4 linked regions of the Kluyveromyces lactis genome follow. The protein of the gene in region 3 purifies or fractionates together with the protein of the main gene of each other region. This does not show direct contact. Links are inferred from orthologs where the notes say so. Each region holds a gene or a part of one and is shown on either strand. Other genes may lie near its edges. The genes, in order: TAF7, TAF13, TAF4 and TAF2.

Evidence for each region.
Region 1: the proteins of TAF4 (region 3) and TAF7 purify together in Saccharomyces cerevisiae (affinity purification with mass spectrometry; 3 studies listed by BioGRID). This does not show direct contact. The link is inferred for Kluyveromyces lactis from reciprocal best matches to the Saccharomyces cerevisiae genes TAF4 and TAF7.
Region 2: the proteins of TAF4 (region 3) and TAF13 purify together in Saccharomyces cerevisiae (affinity purification with mass spectrometry; 7 studies listed by BioGRID, with this or other methods). This does not show direct contact. The link is inferred for Kluyveromyces lactis from reciprocal best matches to the Saccharomyces cerevisiae genes TAF4 and TAF13.
Region 4: the proteins of TAF4 (region 3) and TAF2 purify together in Saccharomyces cerevisiae (affinity purification with mass spectrometry; 4 studies listed by BioGRID, with this or other methods). This does not show direct contact. The link is inferred for Kluyveromyces lactis from reciprocal best matches to the Saccharomyces cerevisiae genes TAF4 and TAF2.

Annotation. Positions count from the first base shown.
Region 1 is NC_006038.1:735,820-740,986, reverse strand, and holds TAF7 (TATA-binding protein-associated factor TAF7), read right to left. Parts: upstream 3,021-5,167; coding exon 813-3,020; downstream 1-812. Other genes in the region: MTF1 (RNA polymerase specificity factor), read left to right, coding at 3,497-4,504; KLLA0_B08261g (uncharacterized protein), read right to left, coding at 4,641-5,167.
Region 2 is NC_006040.1:863,463-866,635, forward strand, and holds TAF13 (Taf13p), read left to right. Parts: upstream 1-1,400; coding exon 1,401-1,880; downstream 1,881-3,173. Other genes in the region: ARG81 (Arg81p), read right to left, coding at 1-834; ERO1 (ER oxidoreductin), read right to left, coding at 2,218-3,173. UniProt on the Saccharomyces cerevisiae protein: Functions as a component of the DNA-binding general transcription factor complex TFIID. Binding of TFIID to a promoter (with or without TATA element) is the initial step in pre-initiation complex (PIC) formation.
Region 3 is NC_006039.1:526,073-530,104, reverse strand, and holds TAF4 (Taf4p), read left to right. Parts: upstream 1-1,788; coding exon 1,789-2,889; downstream 2,890-4,032. Other genes in the region: RCL1 (rRNA-processing endoribonuclease), read right to left, coding at 105-1,199; PLB3 (lysophospholipase), read right to left, coding at 3,415-4,032. UniProt on the Saccharomyces cerevisiae protein: Functions as a component of the DNA-binding general transcription factor complex TFIID. Binding of TFIID to a promoter (with or without TATA element) is the initial step in pre-initiation complex (PIC) formation.
Region 4 is NC_006039.1:176,607-181,711, reverse strand, and holds the start of TAF2 (transcription initiation factor TFIID subunit TAF2), read right to left. Parts: upstream 3,169-5,105; coding exon 1-3,168. Other genes in the region: GOR1 (glyoxylate reductase), read left to right, coding at 4,093-5,105. UniProt on the Saccharomyces cerevisiae protein: Functions as a component of the DNA-binding general transcription factor complex TFIID. Binding of TFIID to a promoter (with or without TATA element) is the initial step in pre-initiation complex (PIC) formation.

The sequences.
Region 1 (5,167 bases), on a different chromosome or scaffold from region 3:
GGATCAAAACTGGTTAGTTAAGTAATCAATTCTGTTCTATTCTCTATCAATCCGACAGTAGTACTTTTTTTTCCTAATTACCATATCATAAGATGTCGAGGTGAAATTAAGTTGTGCTTCTCTTTCTCTCTCTCTTTTTTTTTTTTTTTTTTTTCTTTTGCGACCACCAGGAACGGTTCTAAAACAGGACTTAGTTAACCCATTATAATTCGGGTATTTTCCCTCATTCCCATTCTGTGATTCTTAACTCTCTATAAATGTTATGTCTTCACTGGGTCAATCATTGGGCTTTGGCTCTTCTTTTGCGCAATTCACCTTTTTGAGATGTACATGGCAGGGCCTTTTTCTTTCAGCCGCTCTGTAGGCAGTAAAAAGAAACGGCGAAGTGAGGTGCCTCTTAACACCTGCTGCCTCTTTCCCTTTGTGTGCCGTCGTCAAGAGGCTTCGGCAAACGAGAAGAGGTTCGCATTCGTAATTTTCCTCTTGTTGTTGCCCCGTGTTTCCCATTGATCTCCATCCATTACTTCCTTGCCTGTCTTGATTCTTGTTTCTACTTCCCTTTAAAGAATTTAAAAAAAAAAAAAATGCTTCTAGATAAATTCAGTTATACATTCAGATTACACAACTCATTCACGCATTCGTTCAGGCATTCAGTCATATCGTTCACCCTTGTAGAGCATGGGAAGCTGTAATGCTATTCCAAACTCAGATAACATGCTAAATCATCACGTATCTCTTATTGTCTCTTCGGGTATTGATTTTTTTTCTGTTTTTGTTTTTCTTTTAGTGGTTTCTTTTCTCTCAGTTCAAACCTAATCGTTATCCGCTCCGAAAAGAAGCATCATATCCATGTCATCTTGATCAAGTTCTTCAGTACCTTGTCTTGCTTCTTGTCCTTGTTGCGGTTCTTCGTCCGGCCGTTGCTCTTCCTGTTCCTCTTCCTCTTCTTCTTCCTCTTCTTCTCCCTCCTCTTCCTCCTCCTCCTCTTCTTCCTCTTCTTCTAGTTCATCCTCCTCCTCATAAAGATTCCCTTCGGTACCAATGTTTTCCACTCCATTGGTAATCGTAGCATTGTTTGGAATTGATGCCGATCCGGTTACGCCACTACCACCGCTACTAACGCTGCCATTTCTGATTGCGGCCTTGTTCGATACTGCACCGGCTTCAGTATCGGGTACGTTTTCTGAGATGTCTTGAGCTGTCTGTACATTTCCTGCATCGTCTACAACAACTGGTTCTCCTAACTGTTTTCGTTTCAATTCAACTTCTTTCTCAAGCTTCTTGATACTTTCTAAGAATCTTGTCTTTAACAACGGATTCGTAGTCCTACTGGCTTTATTCCGGTTTAATTCTAACGTACTTTCTAGTTCCCTCAATTCATCAAGTAATAATTCTCTGTGTTGCTCTTCTTCGTTAGCACCATCGTTGTCTGAGACACGTGACTTAGTTGTTCCTGTTGTAACTGATCCGGATAATCCATCAGCACCGTTCTCTTCATCCTCCTCTTCTTCATCCTCTTCTTCCTCCTCTTCTTCCTCTTCGTCCTCCTCCTCTTCGTCTTCATCATCACCGTTATCTTGTTCAACGTCATCACCGGTCTCCTCAAGAAGTTGTCCTGGTCTTACAACACTGCCAGTATCTGTAGACATCGCTGCTCCAGCCGGTCCATTAACCATGCTTGCCGGTATAGAACCATCAGTAGTTTCTGTTTGTAGAGCTTGTTCCAATTCCAATTCAAGATCTTCTTCATGATCCTCTTCCTCATCTTCTTCCGCGGCACCTGTAACATGATGTGGTTTGATCTCTTGGCTGTAGCCAACAGAAGATGTTTCATCCATATGCTCACCAGCCTTTTGATAATGTGCAAGATCTGCTGCACTTGTAGACCTTTGCTGTTGAATTGCATCCTCATTAACTAGCTCGTACCCGAACTCTTCAGCTTCAGCATCTAATTTCAATAATTTTTCAACAGTACGTTCCACATAATCAAAGGCAGTTGGTCCCATCCTATGTCTGAAGCGACGGTTGCGAGCATTATACAAAGGAGGGGTGATACCATGCTTATAATCGTAACGCTTGTTTATGATTTGTTCGATGTTTTTACTTTCAGCATCAGTCAATGGGCCGCCATTGTACCCTCTGAGTTGCTGTTTCCGTTGCTCGGTAATTTCCTTCTGATACTCTTCAAAATGTTTCTTAGTAAGATCTTCCGTATCGCTTACTTGCAAAGAAAACACTTCTTCTTCCTTATTCACTGTACGAACACATATTAACATCTGACTAACGTCAAACGTCTTCAATAAGTTCTTTCTGTCAACACTCTTGTTAACTTCGATTATACTTGGCAAGTTGACTAATACAGCACCATATTGCACCCCATTCACTTTCACAACCGCGTGTCTCTCACCCTTCCATTTGATACTGACATCAGAGTAATCACCACTCTCTATAGAGTTTTTAACGAATTCTGCACTCAAATCTGGTAATACTCTTAGAATTATACCTTCCTCGATTAGCGGATCATCCTCTACATCACTGGCCTCAGAATCGTACCCTTCACCGGGAACTCGTACAGGTTTGATTCTGAACTTAGGAGTCTTGACAACACTCGTACTTTTGCGCTGCTGCTGCTGCTGATGCGATTGGGAGTGCGGCACTAATTGTGGATGTGAATCTTCCCGTTTTTTTAGATTGATTTTTAACTTCATGGGCCGCGAGCTTCCCTTCGAAGTGCCCACATTATTATTATTGCTGATATCTTTATCCTCTTGATTATCACGCTTTTTCAGTTTGATTTTAAGCTTTGGTGCAGGCTTGGAATTATTGCTGCTGGAACTGCTTCCTCCAGTCTTTAACTTGATCTTTTTTAGTTTAGGTTCCGTTCCACCGCCTGATTCAGGCTCCTTGGGTTTGTTAATTCTGATTATCGGACCCATTGTGGGATACTGTACTAAAACTGAATGTTTACTGTCTTTTGAGAGACCCCTTGTCGTATGTGTCACACCAATTGGGTCAACCATTCATTTTACTTTCACTGTACATCTAGATAGCTAAACATTTTCCGTCGAACATTATTTCCAATTTCACGATTTCCTCCATTATGTAATTTGAAGCGAGTTTTGATCACGTGGAAACGTCCAGACTAACGCTGAATTTGGCTTAATGCATTGCAAGTCATGTTAAAGTACTACTGTATACTATCAGGGAGTAACTACTTAAAATAGTTTGAAACTTCTGATGATCATAGCTTATAGTTCGCAACTATCCTAGGTGTCTTTATAACACCAGCGTCATCATCACTATAAAATTCCGAATTGAAAAATGGAAAAGCTCATATTTCAACTCATCGCTTCATTTTGTCCAGATGAAAGTTGTAAACAAGTCACAGCAGATCTGCACTCATTGGATGGAACTGGCACCTTCTATATGAGTTCTGTGCTCCAATATACAATATCCGTTCTCTATTGTCAAATACACTACAGAATTTTTCCTAATCATGACCAAGAGTTCGTTTCTGAAGTCGGTTCTACCACTAGCAAATAAGATTCATACCAGTTATGGAAGTCAATTTGAGAAAAACCCCAAGGTAATAAACCAAATATTAGACAAGTTGAATTTAGAATCATACTACAAGTCTGAAAGCTTACAAATACTGGATATATACGCCGGGCCTTTGATTCAATCAGTCATACTTAATGAAAGACTGAAACCAAAGAAGCATGTCCTGTTAGAGGATCGATTGAAATTTGTGGAGTTGTATCAAGCAACTTTGAAGGATCACCCATCGATGGTTAATTACAATAAAAATCCATATAAATGGGAGACATTTTTAGAAATGACAAATGAAGACAGAGTCCTTACTCCTAGCATGCAGAAAAGAGATCATATTCACAATGAATTCTTGATCGCTGCCAATTTGACCAATAAAAAGGGTGAACAGCTATACGTGCAATATTTGCAGTGTATAGCGAACCAGAATTGGATGCAAAGATTTGGTCTGGTCAAGATGTTAGTTTGGATACCTCAGCAAACTGCAAGGAAATTATTCGCACCATTTTCAAACAAAGACAGAAACAGGCTTACTCTTCTATCCGAATTAGCTACTAATACAAAGCTCGTTGCGACTTCTGAAAACTCAGTAAAAAAGTTCCTTCCAGATTGCATAGAGAAGTTTGATCCCGTGATAATTCCCTCAGATAATAAAAGTCCAGACGATCTTTCACTTGTTGAAATCAACCCTAGGGATCACAGCATAGATTTGGACCATTGGGATTTCGTAACGCAAAAGTTAATGATCCTTAAATCCAAACCAGTAGAAGAGATGATTGAAATTTTGGGGCATGGGGCTCGTGATTGGTTCATTTCTCGTTTGGATCCAGTCTTATTGAAGAAAAAACCTTACGAGTTGACGTATTTGGAAATTGATGAAATTGCAAAAGTATTTGCACTGTGGCCATTTAAACCATCTTTATTAGTGGATTTCTACGATGAAAACGAGGATTAGAATTAAAGCGTACCCATCTTAGCATAATTTTCGGGTTTCATTATCGTCTTTACAAGAATTTTGTTGGCATTCGAGTTTGCGCATCATTTATATATGTGTATATATACATCTTAATCATACTTCTCCTGTACATACCTTAATACGTGATAGAATTTGTATTTTCACCGGTCTTTGGGCTACTGGCACCTTTCATGATTTGAATGCATGTGTCTCTTGCTACCCAACCTGTTCCAGGTAAGAATACCCTTCTGAAAGGTTTTCCATTTTTGTCAAAAAGATTAACCTTACTCAAATCTGGAGAAATTGGCGAGAATGACAATGGAGTGAGTTGTGGTGCTTTTATTTCTATTTTTTCTTTCTGATCACTTTTACTAACGTAATCCCTCCATCTATCTAACCCCTTCTTTGTGGTCATGTCGAATAACAATCCCTTTTCTTTCTCTTGAATGACAAAGGGTGACTTGGTGTCCTTCGAACTTACCGTTGTTAAAGAGCTTAAATTATTGTTAATCCTTGATGTTTCATACTTCAACTCTTTTTTTGTTTGCTCTAACAGCAATTGCACCCTTGTTTGAACTTGTTCCATTTCATGGATTTTCTCCCAAATTTCATTATCATATTCCAATTCAAATACCTTTTGATTGGTTCTATTTAGCTGCTCTG
Region 2 (3,173 bases), on a different chromosome or scaffold from region 3:
TGTGCGACCGTCATTACAATTACCATTAACACTACCATTCTTTTTCCCCATATTATCTACTGTGAGAGGAGTTTGTGGCGTATCCGGTGTATTATTCTGACGAATACCCATAAATGGTATTGTTTCCCCTTGCACTGCGGACGCCGATAGTAATGCATCGTCCCGTAGTTCATTTGAGATCCACTCGTTCCCAGGAAACAACAAAGAATTCATATCGAATTCGAATAGGGAATGAAGCTGCTGCGCAGATGTATGATCATCATTAGCAGATGATGATTCCATATCTTCTGGAGTGCATAAATTTGTGCCCTCTTTCGAATCTGAATCAGCAGTTTTAACCTTATTTTTCTTATTAGCTAGTTTCTTCTGAGCTTTTTCGATGGCATTAATGAAAACTTGATTCTTCTTACGTTTCTTCCGTGGCACGTACCTTTTTTTGACCTTATCTGTGCCTTTGAACACACCAAATTTCTTTATAATCCAAGTCTTGTCTTCAGAGATGAGCTCTAAAGGAGGAGAGCTTAACGCTGATAATTCATCGTCCATATCCTCATAATACACATATTCCTCTTTGTACCGAACGAAATCAACGTTTCTTCTCTGATACTGAGGCTCATCTGGATCTTTGATTCCTGTAGGTGTTGCGGTCACATTACCCATAGTGTCAAACTGAATTGGCCGGGTCCACCGAAGTTTTACATCGTATCCTCCACATATTAACCCACCTTTCTCACATCGCTCACATCCGGGCCGCCGAAGATCACACTTTACTTTCCTTGATCTACATGTCCAGCATCCCGTGAACGTCTTCACTCTGGGCTTCGCAGGCTTCATTCCTGCTTGTATCCTCTTTGACTCACAGTCGCTGTGAAGGAAAAATAGCCTCCAATATTTACCAAACCTTCAATATCAACCACACGCAGATGAGCGTCTAAATGATGCCACTGTTGGAACAATAATATCTACTAAAACCTTATCTTGAGCGGTACTAATCGGTTTATTATCATTGCTCTGTTTATCTGATCCTCAGAAGATGCGATGTGGATCTGTCATGTCCTTTCCTCTGTTCGTCTTTTCTCAAAATTTTCACACAAGCGGAAGGGTTAGGCGATTTGTCAATTTCTTTCTCGCTAAAAAGCTCCCTATATAGCTTAACTGTTGGATGGACTGCGCATGATATTTGGGGACAAAAAAACGCAAGCGATTTTTTGCTGCGAAAAAAAAAAAAGCAAACTCGCACTATTCTTCGCTGTGTTTAAGTTGACAGTTTGACATAAAACTCAGAACCAGAATCAAAATCACGAAACAATGATCAAGCTATACAGTTTAGCTTATAGCGCATTCGTCCATTCCATGGAGTAGAGCTGACTAGTCGGTTGGAGTTCTAGATCAACACAGGAATGTCCAGAAGAATTCGTAAAACAAGTCTTTTCAGTAAAGATGTTGGCTCTTTGATGTATGCGTTTGGTGATGTCGCGCAACCTTTACCAGAGACCATTCAATGTGTAGACGAATTGGTGGTGTCTTATTTGAGCGATATATGTGCCAATGCGTACTACTCGGCTCAAACCGTGAAGAGGAATAAGATTAAAGTGGAAGATTTCAGATTTGTACTTCGAAAGGACGAGGTGAAATTAGGTAGAGCTGAAGAGTTGATTAAGATGAATAAAGTTATTACCGATGCCAGGAAACAATTTGATAATTCAGAGGGGAAATCTTTGAAACGAGTGAAAGATGACGGTGATGATGACCACATTTCGGCTGATGAAGATGAGGAGACGACAACGGTTCCTGAACCCGTTCCTACCTCACGTCCGGTAGGCAGACCAAGGAAAAAGGGAAATGAACCTCCTAAGAAGAAGAAACGGGAAACAAGCTGAGAGTTACATTCGCATTACCCCTAGCATATCTGTACTTGAAATCCTTCTCTTGCTGGGCAAAAGAAGTGAAAAAACAAAGCAATCCTCATATAAATTCTATCATTATAGTATTACGCCTTTCTGAACAAAATGCCATATTTATGCATACTTAGCGGCAACATATACGTTTATTTTTTCTATTAGCTATATATTAACCAAATGAATAGCTTATGAGAGGGTATTATTTGAACATAATCACCTTTATCTTCATAATTGGAATTTTCAGCTGGTTCTCCTGTAGTTCTTAATATCTATAAACAAATTGTCATATAAAATGACAATTTGAGAGGTTTTTAATCTATTCTTCGTAGTTGTAGGATGGATATTCAAGCTCCTCTCCTTCTTCGAGATAGTTTGGAACACCAATAAACTTGTTCCAGAGTTTATTGAGCTTTAGTACAGTGTACTTACTAACAGTGGAAGGTAGGTCCGTATAACTTGTTACGATAAACCGCAACGCTTGCTTGAAATTCTTCCATTCTACATCCCATGCTTCTTTGAATACACCGCTGGCCTGTTCACGAACTTCGGTATGTGTTTCTTTCTTCTTCTCTGGCATTTTTAGATCATTGAATTCATTTACCTTCTTTTCTACGTTACTAACGGATTCTTTTTCTTGAGATGAATGATTGGCACTGTTAAACTTATCATTCAATACTTTGAAGAAATTATCCAATTGGAAAAAGGAGGCCAGTTTTTCACCAGGACTCTTTAATTGATAGTTGTACATTTCTTCGAATCTGTTAACTGCTTCCACTGACTTTGACAATCTGTCAAAAGTGTTGAATAAAGCAATTAATTCGTACTTGGTAAGTTTATCAACGACATGCTGTCTTGCCACATCGTCATCGTTATCCATTTCGAACAAAATCTTCAAACTAGTAGCATATCCAGTGGTTTGCACTTTACCCCACAATCTACATCTATCACATTGCACACAGTCCATAATTTTCGTGACATTCTTGAACCTGATTCTGAAATCATCCTTAAGTTGGCCACTGACCTCATCATGGAAAAGTAAATCTTCGTTGAAAACTTTGCTATTTAGCTGAGAAACGACACCATCAATCATTCCCTTAACGTCCTCGTTGTAAGCATTACAGAAACCTAGTTCATTCATATATGGTCTAATTTTCCAAAGGGCCTTCGCGACAACGGCAAAGTTGAAGTAAATGTTCGATACACGGTCAGGGAAATTTCCTACCCTGGTCATAAATAGTTCCAAATTAGGTTCCCATTTACCTGTTTCGGTGT
Region 3 (4,032 bases):
TAAGTGCTACGCGAAGGAATTTGTGTTGACACATATGCATATAAATTTTATATATGAATACTTATGGGAGTCATTTTGTCAGATAAAATGATATGTAATGTCAATTATGCGATTTTCTTATTGGTGTTTGTGAATCCAATACCCTTGATTGTTGCGATTAGATCCGTAGTGTTATCATCCACTGGCTTCAAGAGTATTTCTGTACCGAAAACTTTCTTGATATCCCGTAAGAGCCATACAAATCTTTCATCTATTTGATCCTTAGTGATTCTGAGTCTTCCGATATCTTCTTTACCGATGATCATGTATAAAATTGTAAGTGGCAACTGGTTTCTTCCAACAACTCCACTTTTGCTTATTTCTTCAAGTAGATGATAGGCTACGGATGCACCAATATCTTCTGGAACATCCCCAGCGTCACCGATAGCTTCAGAAAAGATTCTCCATCCTTGTTTGTTCTCTGCTACGAGCGTTAGACCCCAACCTGGACTTTTACCTGAGTTTTCACCTCTCCATACATCTGCAGTTATATTTACTTCACAACTAGCAGATTTAAGAACTTTTTTCGCACCATCAATCATTCTATTTACAAGGGAGGGACTGACTCTTGTGGAGTATGAAACACCTCTTATACTTGAAATCATTGTTTTATCCAAGGCGTGCATTGTAATCGGTTGTGCAATCAATGAATCCACAACAAGGTGTACTTCACCACCACCTAAAGGAGGTGAACCTCTCTTCAAAGTATGTAATGCACATTCCCTGACGCCAAATTTTTCCATAATCGGCATCAACCCCCATTTTATCGCATCTATTCCAGCATCATTATGTGAAGATGTTATACCACGGAATAGGATTGAGAATTTCTTCTTTGAGAAGGGGGCTAAATACAACATTGGCTCGGCAAAATAGCCCACAGGTTTACTGTTCGGACATTGATGTGTGTATGAACCACCAGTAATTATTCCTGGTCTGAAGATGACGGTGGTACCAGTGTATGAAATTTCTATTGAACTACCATTCGTTACCGCTTCCATCAATCTTAGAAAAGAGACTTCGTAATCTTTTAAACCCGGATTTAGGTCATCAGAACGTATCTTTTCTATCTTTATAGCTTTTCCTGACAATGTAGCCATTACTACTCGTAAACGAAAGTTCCGTGAACCTTCAAAGGTTACGTATCTGGAAGAGGATGACATGTCCAATTTGTCTGTTTGTCTGTCCTACTTCGTGAGGAATAAATTTCCTGATAAATCTCTTTAGAGTTTTTAATACAGAAAGTGACCTTCTATCGGACGCTAATGGAATGGTTGATGGAAGTTAACTGAAACCTTTCGATATTGGTTTTGTGTTGTATGTTCAGTTAGGCGATGAGATGAGATGAGATACGCTTTTGACAAATTTTTTGCAAGGAAAAGAAATGAGCTTCGTTACCCGGATTATGTGATCTTTCAATCTTGAAAAAATCAAAGCCAGCAAACAATAGCATCTAAATGAAGAAAGAGGTAGGAACTAGATAGAACTTTTTAGCATAATGTTTAATACTCGCACGTTTTTTTATCTTTGTTGAAATCATTAAGGTTGTACGTTTTTCGCTGAAACTGGATTTTAATTGATAGGCCGCATTTGGACCTGTTTTTAAAGATTGACTTATTCTTTTCATAGTTTATTTGCCTGCATTTTTGGGACAAGTGCAATAGGTGTCCTCAAGTATCCAATACGATTCTTTTTACCCCCGTGTTTCACCAGAGAAAACTATCACTATTGGTCTAATTAGTATAAAATACGATGGCAAAATCGCCCAAGAGAAAGAATTCTGAACCGGAAGATTTATCTTCAAATAAACGTTCCAAATCATTCGAATTTGGCAAAGTAGAGAACGGGCTGGAACCCAGTGGCTCAGATTTTGGCAGTGATCTGCCTACGCCATTCGATACTATGGTTACAGAACAGCCATTAGCTCTACCTAAAGCATCATCTCCAACTACAAACCTAGCATCTCCGCGAAACTCAAGTACGCCAAATTTGAAGACGACGAGTACGACAAGCAAACAATCACAGAAAGCAGAACAGAAGAAGAATGCCGGGGGTTCAACAGGTAGTACGACTGCCTCAACTACAAAACCACAGCAAAGTGATCCAGACAAGCTTAGTGATGCTTTGTTATCGGCCGGTGTTGATATAAGAGAGGAAGAGGCATTGCTAAGTAGCACAGTTGCTAGAACAAAAGCAACCGGTATTTCAGCAAATAACCAGGTCCCATCTCATCCTCCATTCCTACATCCTAAGAACATTTCAGATTTCATGAAAAGAATTGCATCAGAACAAAACTTTCATCAAGATTTCAATAAAAACACTGATATACTCGGATTAATGTCTACTGCATGTGAACTTTACATGAGGGACGTGATAACGAACTCTTTAATCCTATCCATACATAGACGGAAAGGTGTTAAACTAAACACGGGAAGGAGGAGTGAAGTGAGTCGTTCTTTGAGGGATTTAGCATTAAGACAAAAGACTCAAGAAGAAAGAAGAGTACAGAGAAGAATAGCACTCGGTTTAGAAAAACAAACAACGGATGCTAGGTTAGATACTGAAGAGACTCAATATCGTGCATCAAATGCAACTGCCAATTTGATGATTGCAGGGGGTAACAAAAAAAAATATAGTTGGTTGACCGCTGGATCCAAGTCCAGCTCGACAGACCTAAAAAATCAGGGAAATGTTTCATCTGCTGTTGCAGCAAGGGGTGAAATGGGTATCAAATATAGAGAAGCAAGAGAAGAACCTGGCATCGTTATGAGGGACCTTCTTTTAGCTTTAGAAAATAGGCGAGTAGGAGTTAATAATGTTATCACTAAAGGATATGCTAGAATCAGAGACTAGCATTTCCAGTTACTTTGAGGAATAATATGAGTTTCCGAGATGTTCTGTAGTATGCATACTTATATAATATAAACCTTTCGATAAATAACATAGAGACTCATACTTGCATGCGAGATTACTTTTCCTTTTCTACCTGACATGTCGCATATTTAATATTTAAAGATAGTTTTCATTTTTTAGTATCTAAATACTCAAAATCACGTCAGAGACAAATAAAGTTTAAAAAAAATAGAGTTTATTAAACCATTACTTCACACGACGCTTTAATAAGTACACTAATGATCGACGCAATTCGGTACCATTTATCGTTTGTATCTATTATATTACTTTTTAACGAATCATATCAAGATACTTTTATATACTCCAGTCTTGTCAATGATTTGGTCATTGGTCAAAGGAGATCATCTAGAGAAATTGGAAACGAAGGAGGTACAATGACGAATTCATAAGAACGAATCTGCATGAACATCTGAAAACTCAATGCATATATATTTTTTTGGTTTTAGTTTGATACTCATGGGTAAACTAGAAAGAGATGAAGACACTAGCTAAACCTCCAATCAACAAAGATAGCGTACTTCTTGGGGCCAAAATTCTGGCACTATTTTCTTTATTGCCGGAATCAGATGTTGAGGTGGAACTTGCAGAGGAGGATGTAGTGCTTGAGATAGGGGTGGTGGCATCGACAGTTCCATTCCAGCAGTATTTTTCGAAACAAGCATCACATTCAGATGGAAGTGTATAATTTAGTGATTCTTGTTTCCGTCTCAATATGGCGCATGAGATACACCCCATAAAGTTCTCATCTTTAGTGAGATTTTTCATGGTGACAGCTTCGAAACCGTTTTGGATCATCTTAAACCTTTCGGAAGTGGAGTACGACATTTTAAACGTAGATGTGTTACTGTTGAAGGACTCCCTTGTGTTTGGCATATAAACTACTAAAGGTGGAATTGATTCTAGATCAGTCAAATTTCTTGCATCGCACCCAAAGAAGGTAGGTCTTGTATTTAATCCAAGATTGGTGAAAGTGTTCACATCTGGAACATAAGGGAAGGCAATGCCTTTCCCTTGCAGACCAAATTGACGAGCGTAAGTCTGAGTCAATGAAAATCCGTCAGGCCAAGATTGATCCGTGTCTGC
Region 4 (5,105 bases), about 350 kb from region 3:
AAGACCATGTACTGCCAATTTCAGTCGTTGTTTTTGGATTGTCTTAGTGGTCAAAAATTGATAAGAAGACATCCATTGATCTAGATTGTAAAATCTCTGGATTTCGTTCATAACTTCATCAATATACTTTGTATCGTTGATATCAGATATTGAACAGTCTACCAAAGATTCAAGTAATTCCGTGATATAAAAAGTGTCGCTGTAAATATTATCAGTGTTGTCATTGTACCGCACTACATCAAGCAAGAATTCCTTAACAAATGCAGGGCAAACACCCTCATCATTTTTCACTGAAGAAAGAAGTTTTGGGATTGCTTTCTGCAAGAAATATTTTGGATAGTCGGAAAAGTCATTGTTTTTGGGAATATTAGAGTCCTCGTAACAGAAAAGCTCCCTGAATATTTGAACCAGATGCCTTGGGCCTCCCTTGAATTCTTGCTGTTCTTCAGCTTTAATTGTAAATTTTGAAAGTGCTCTACAAGCAGCAAGACGGACACCATGAAAGTATTTTGGATCCATTGCTGTTCGAGTGAGAATGGAGGAATATATAAGGGAATTAGATGTGCCGTTCAAAATCACATCTTCAAAAAACCTGACACTTTCCACTTGCGCTTCCACGTCTCTATCTTGTTGTAACTGAGAGGCAAACATATAATCAGGTTGATTAATGTGCACTTTCGAAATCCACTCAAAATCGGAGTCTATTCTTATCCATTCGAAAGCCTCATTCTGCTGCTGTAAGTCATCGCCTTCTGAAGTTGTCATTGGGTCTGTTAAATTCCATTTATTACAGTCATCTTTGCTAACGAGTACATCCCCCATACAATTAATAAGCACTATATCTTCGTTGGCATTTTCCTCCTCCTGTGTATCCTCATTGATTTCCTCTTTCGCTTCCTTTGTCACTCTATTAACCTTCCTTCTTCTCTTTAACCTTTTATATTTAGTGTTATACTGAACATCCAATTTTGTAAATACATCCTTTAGTTCAACAATATGTTCATACGGAGTTCCGTCAGCTTCATGGATTCTGATTGTCATGGATCCGGTGAACACCTGAGTAGGAGATTTGTCTTGATCTTGCAAATATTCCATAGCACTAGAATTGAAATTTTCTTTTCCAACGATTTTACCTAATCCTAATTCCTGCATCTGAACTTGTCTGATGCCCATTTCAACTGCCATTCTCTTTTTGTTAAATCTTTGCGTTATGCGGAATATTGGAACACCGGATCCGTATACCCATTGCTTGAAGAAAGTTTCGAGTCTATTTTTGTTCACACGTTCACACACTCTCTGAAAATGGGTACTAGACAATGAGTTATTGGTCAATTCCCCTGACATAGCTTGTAAGTATATTTTGGGCAATACTCGGGACATACCGAATGACCTTTCTGTTTTTGTCATTCTTCTATCGAGAATAAAAAGCACCATTGGAGCCTTTAATTTTATAAAATTAATTTCCTTTGATAGAGTTGATATAGGTAAAGAAGCAGAATCAAAAGTAGTTCCGATTGGCTGTTTTTCCCAATCCTGTTCAACTATGGCTTCCGATGCCATTTTGATCCTGAATTTGTACTCATTGACACCCATGAGCTTTCGTATTAATTGTAATACCATGTATCCCGCCATGCCAACAACGCACCATAAATCATTCAATTCTAGAGGAGTGATGTTAACGCCAGACCATTGGTTTGCTAAACCCCATGCAAGTGTGTTGGTTGTAGGATAAATTAAGTCTATAATTTCTGGAGGATATAGCATTCTGGAATTATAAAAGGTGGCGCTTGTGAAATCCATCAGGTCAGTCGTTAAAGTTGGTAAAAACAGCAAAGAGTACGAGGTAAAAGGATATGAACCAAACTCTTTAGAATAGAAATCCATAATTTCCTGGCAAACAAGAGTAGAATTGAGGATAGTTTTTTCGTTCAAATCGACAGTTGGCAATGTGTAAACAAATATAGGAATTTCATCACGAGGCTCATCAGCTAACACTTGCTCCTGTTGCGGTATTTTAAATTCATCCATCTCTTCATCTTCATCGGCCTGTAAGATTGAAGGTAGTTCTATAGTCTGGAAGGCACCGATAGCCCAACCGATGTGGTGTGGGGCCACGGGAGTGAATATCTGGAAGGAAACTGTCTTCTTTGCCATATCCATTGGATGGGCAGTTACCTTTCTCGTTGCCATTTCAGAACATACGACCACGATTTCTCTATTCAGATCTTCGTTTTGGATAGTCCCATCCTCATCCTCATCATCCTCTTCCTCTTCATCTTCGTCATCTTCATCATCGTCTTCCTCCTTCATATGTTCATCATTCGCATTCAAATTGGATCTCCTATCTCTTGCAGTCCTCTTTCGTAGGTTTCTTGCACCAACAACTTTAGTGGTTCCTATGTCCCGCACCCTCTTAGGTACTGATATTTCTAAATCCCATGTGCATTTCTCATCCAAGGAGTCTATGCATGGTAACCAATGTGATACAGAACTATTTAGTTCTGAGTTTGTTGTATAAGCATTCCAAAGATGAGGTTCAGGGGATATGGTATCAAAGCAAACACCTGTGTGTGGATGGTCCAATTCGTAGTCTACCCGTAAAGTCAACGGGGTATATATTGTGTCGTTAGGGAAAGTGCTCGGGGTGTTTCTTAACGAGGGAGTTATACCGGAAGTACCAGCAGCGGTTCCTAAGTACGCAGATAGGGTGTTTACGTCATGCGGCAGAATCTTCACAGAGGAGGGCACTTTAACTAATAGCTGCGATTTGGATGAACCTTCAGGATTATGGTTAAACTCTGAAAATTTCTTTCTTAATAGATGGCTCTGTTCTATGCCGTTACAGTTGTAGAGTATATCATCCTCAGAATTATTCAAGTAAGAGTCTGACAGTTTTTTGTAAGGATCATCATGCACAAAATTATCCAACCGTCTGTTCTCAAAGATGATATCCTTTATTCTCATATTCTTACAATCCAAAGCTATATATTCGAGATTAGGGGTCAATGGCATAATAATCATCTCAGTAGTACCCACTATACAGTTCTTCGAAAGGTCCACATCTATCTGTACTCTCTGATGGGCAACCTTGAATTGTGGTCCAAATTGTTGTTCCACTACTGGGTACGCCGAACCTGGTGTCTTAGGTGTCGATTTCATTTGTACCATATTCTGTGTTTGAAATTCAAAGTACAGAAGTACCGCAAATAGAATCGTAGTTTAGTGCTTAAGTTTCAACGTCTGATCAATTCCGTCTGGTGCCTCTATCTATATCACGTTTCGAAGCATCTCTAAGTATACCTTCAATATCAATTCAACGTATATAATAATAATATCATATACAGATGCATATATATTATTCAAATTTCAAGATTTTGTTTGTTTGAATATTGACCATGCGAGAAATTTATCCGGGTAATGCGGGTTAGGATGACAAGGCATCAGCGGCGGTTGAACATTCATTCATTCATTCCACCTTGAACCACGTGATTGTCTTTCTCTTTGGAAAGCTGTTAATACCTGGCGACACTCTCTCTACCCACTCTTCAGGTAAAAATGGCATGTGGTTGGAATAGGAAAAACGGGAATTTTGCCCGTATCTCGAAACCACGGTACCGTGTTAGGGGCGATTGACACAGCAATCCATTTCTCTTCGCATTACATGATCCATAAGTGAAGTGTTATGGGTTGCAGTATAGCATGCTTAGTTTATCAGATGATGGAAGCTCCGGGTGGTCACAAGATGAAAGGATGTATTAACCGGAATTTTTTGAATGTCTTCTGTCTATCTCTCTATCTATCTATCTATCTGTTTCTTGTTTGTAATCATTAAAAACGCTGCATGGGTATCTTCTTACGAGTTTTTGCAACGCAATCAGGAAAAACCACTACCGAACATCAAAACCTTTATAAGGTTACAGCAATTGCAAAGGCGACGGTATCGACTTGACACTTCAATTGCACCTTTATAGTATATAGTAGGGGAGGTATTACCATTAAATTATATCTTCGCTATTCGTAAAGTCTATACCAATTTCTTTCTGAAGGTCACTGAAGAGATCGGATAGGTTGATAAGACAGCATCAAGTGAAGATGTCAAAGCCAGTTGTTTTAAGATTAGGTCAGGTTAAGTACGCTCAAAAGGCATGGGAAGAGCTTTCAAAGATTGCACAAGTTATTCCAATTGACCCATCCCTCACAAGAGCTCAATTCTTAGATCAATGTCAGGATCCGGAATCACCAATTTCTAAGGCTCAAATCTTAACCAGAACGTTCCCAAGTGTTAAGAACACTGGAAGATTTGATGCTGAATTGGCTAAGGCATTGCCGGAATCCGTTGTTGCTATTTGTCACAATGGTGCCGGTTACGATCAAATTGACCCTACGCCATTTGGTCAACGTCACATCCAAATTTCCAACGTTCCAGAGTTGGTCAACAATTCTACTGCCGATACTCACGTTTTCCTATTGCTAGGCGCATTAAGAAACTTCGAGTACGGTCATCGTTTGATGGAAGAAGGTAAATGGCCATCCGGTGGCGCTGCCGCTGGTGCACCAGTTGGTCACGACCCCGAGGGTAAAGTTGTTGGTGTCTTGGGTCTAGGAGGTATTGGCCGTGCCATTATTGAGAGGTTGAAGCCATTTGGTTTCAAGAAGTTCATCTATCACAACAGAAATAGATTATCCAGTGATTTGGAGAACGGTTGTGAATACGTTTCCTTTGAAGAGTTGTTGTCTCAATCTGATGTTATTTCCATTAATATTCCATTGAACGCAGCCACCAGACACATGATAGACAAAGAAGCCATCTCAAAAATGAAGGATGGTGTTGTTATCGTTAACACTGCTCGTGGTGCTGTTATCGACGAACCTGCTTTGATTTCTGCTTTGAAGTCAGGTAAAGTGAGATCTGCTGGTTTGGATGTCTATGAAAATGAACCACAAGTGCCACAAGAGTTATTGGATTTGCCAAACTTCATTGGTGTGCCACACATGGGTACTCACACCGTTGAAACCATTCAAAAGATGGAAGAATTCGTTGTTGAAAACGTTAAATCCGTTATCAACACTGGCAAGGTTTTGACCGTTATCCCTGAATTGAAGAA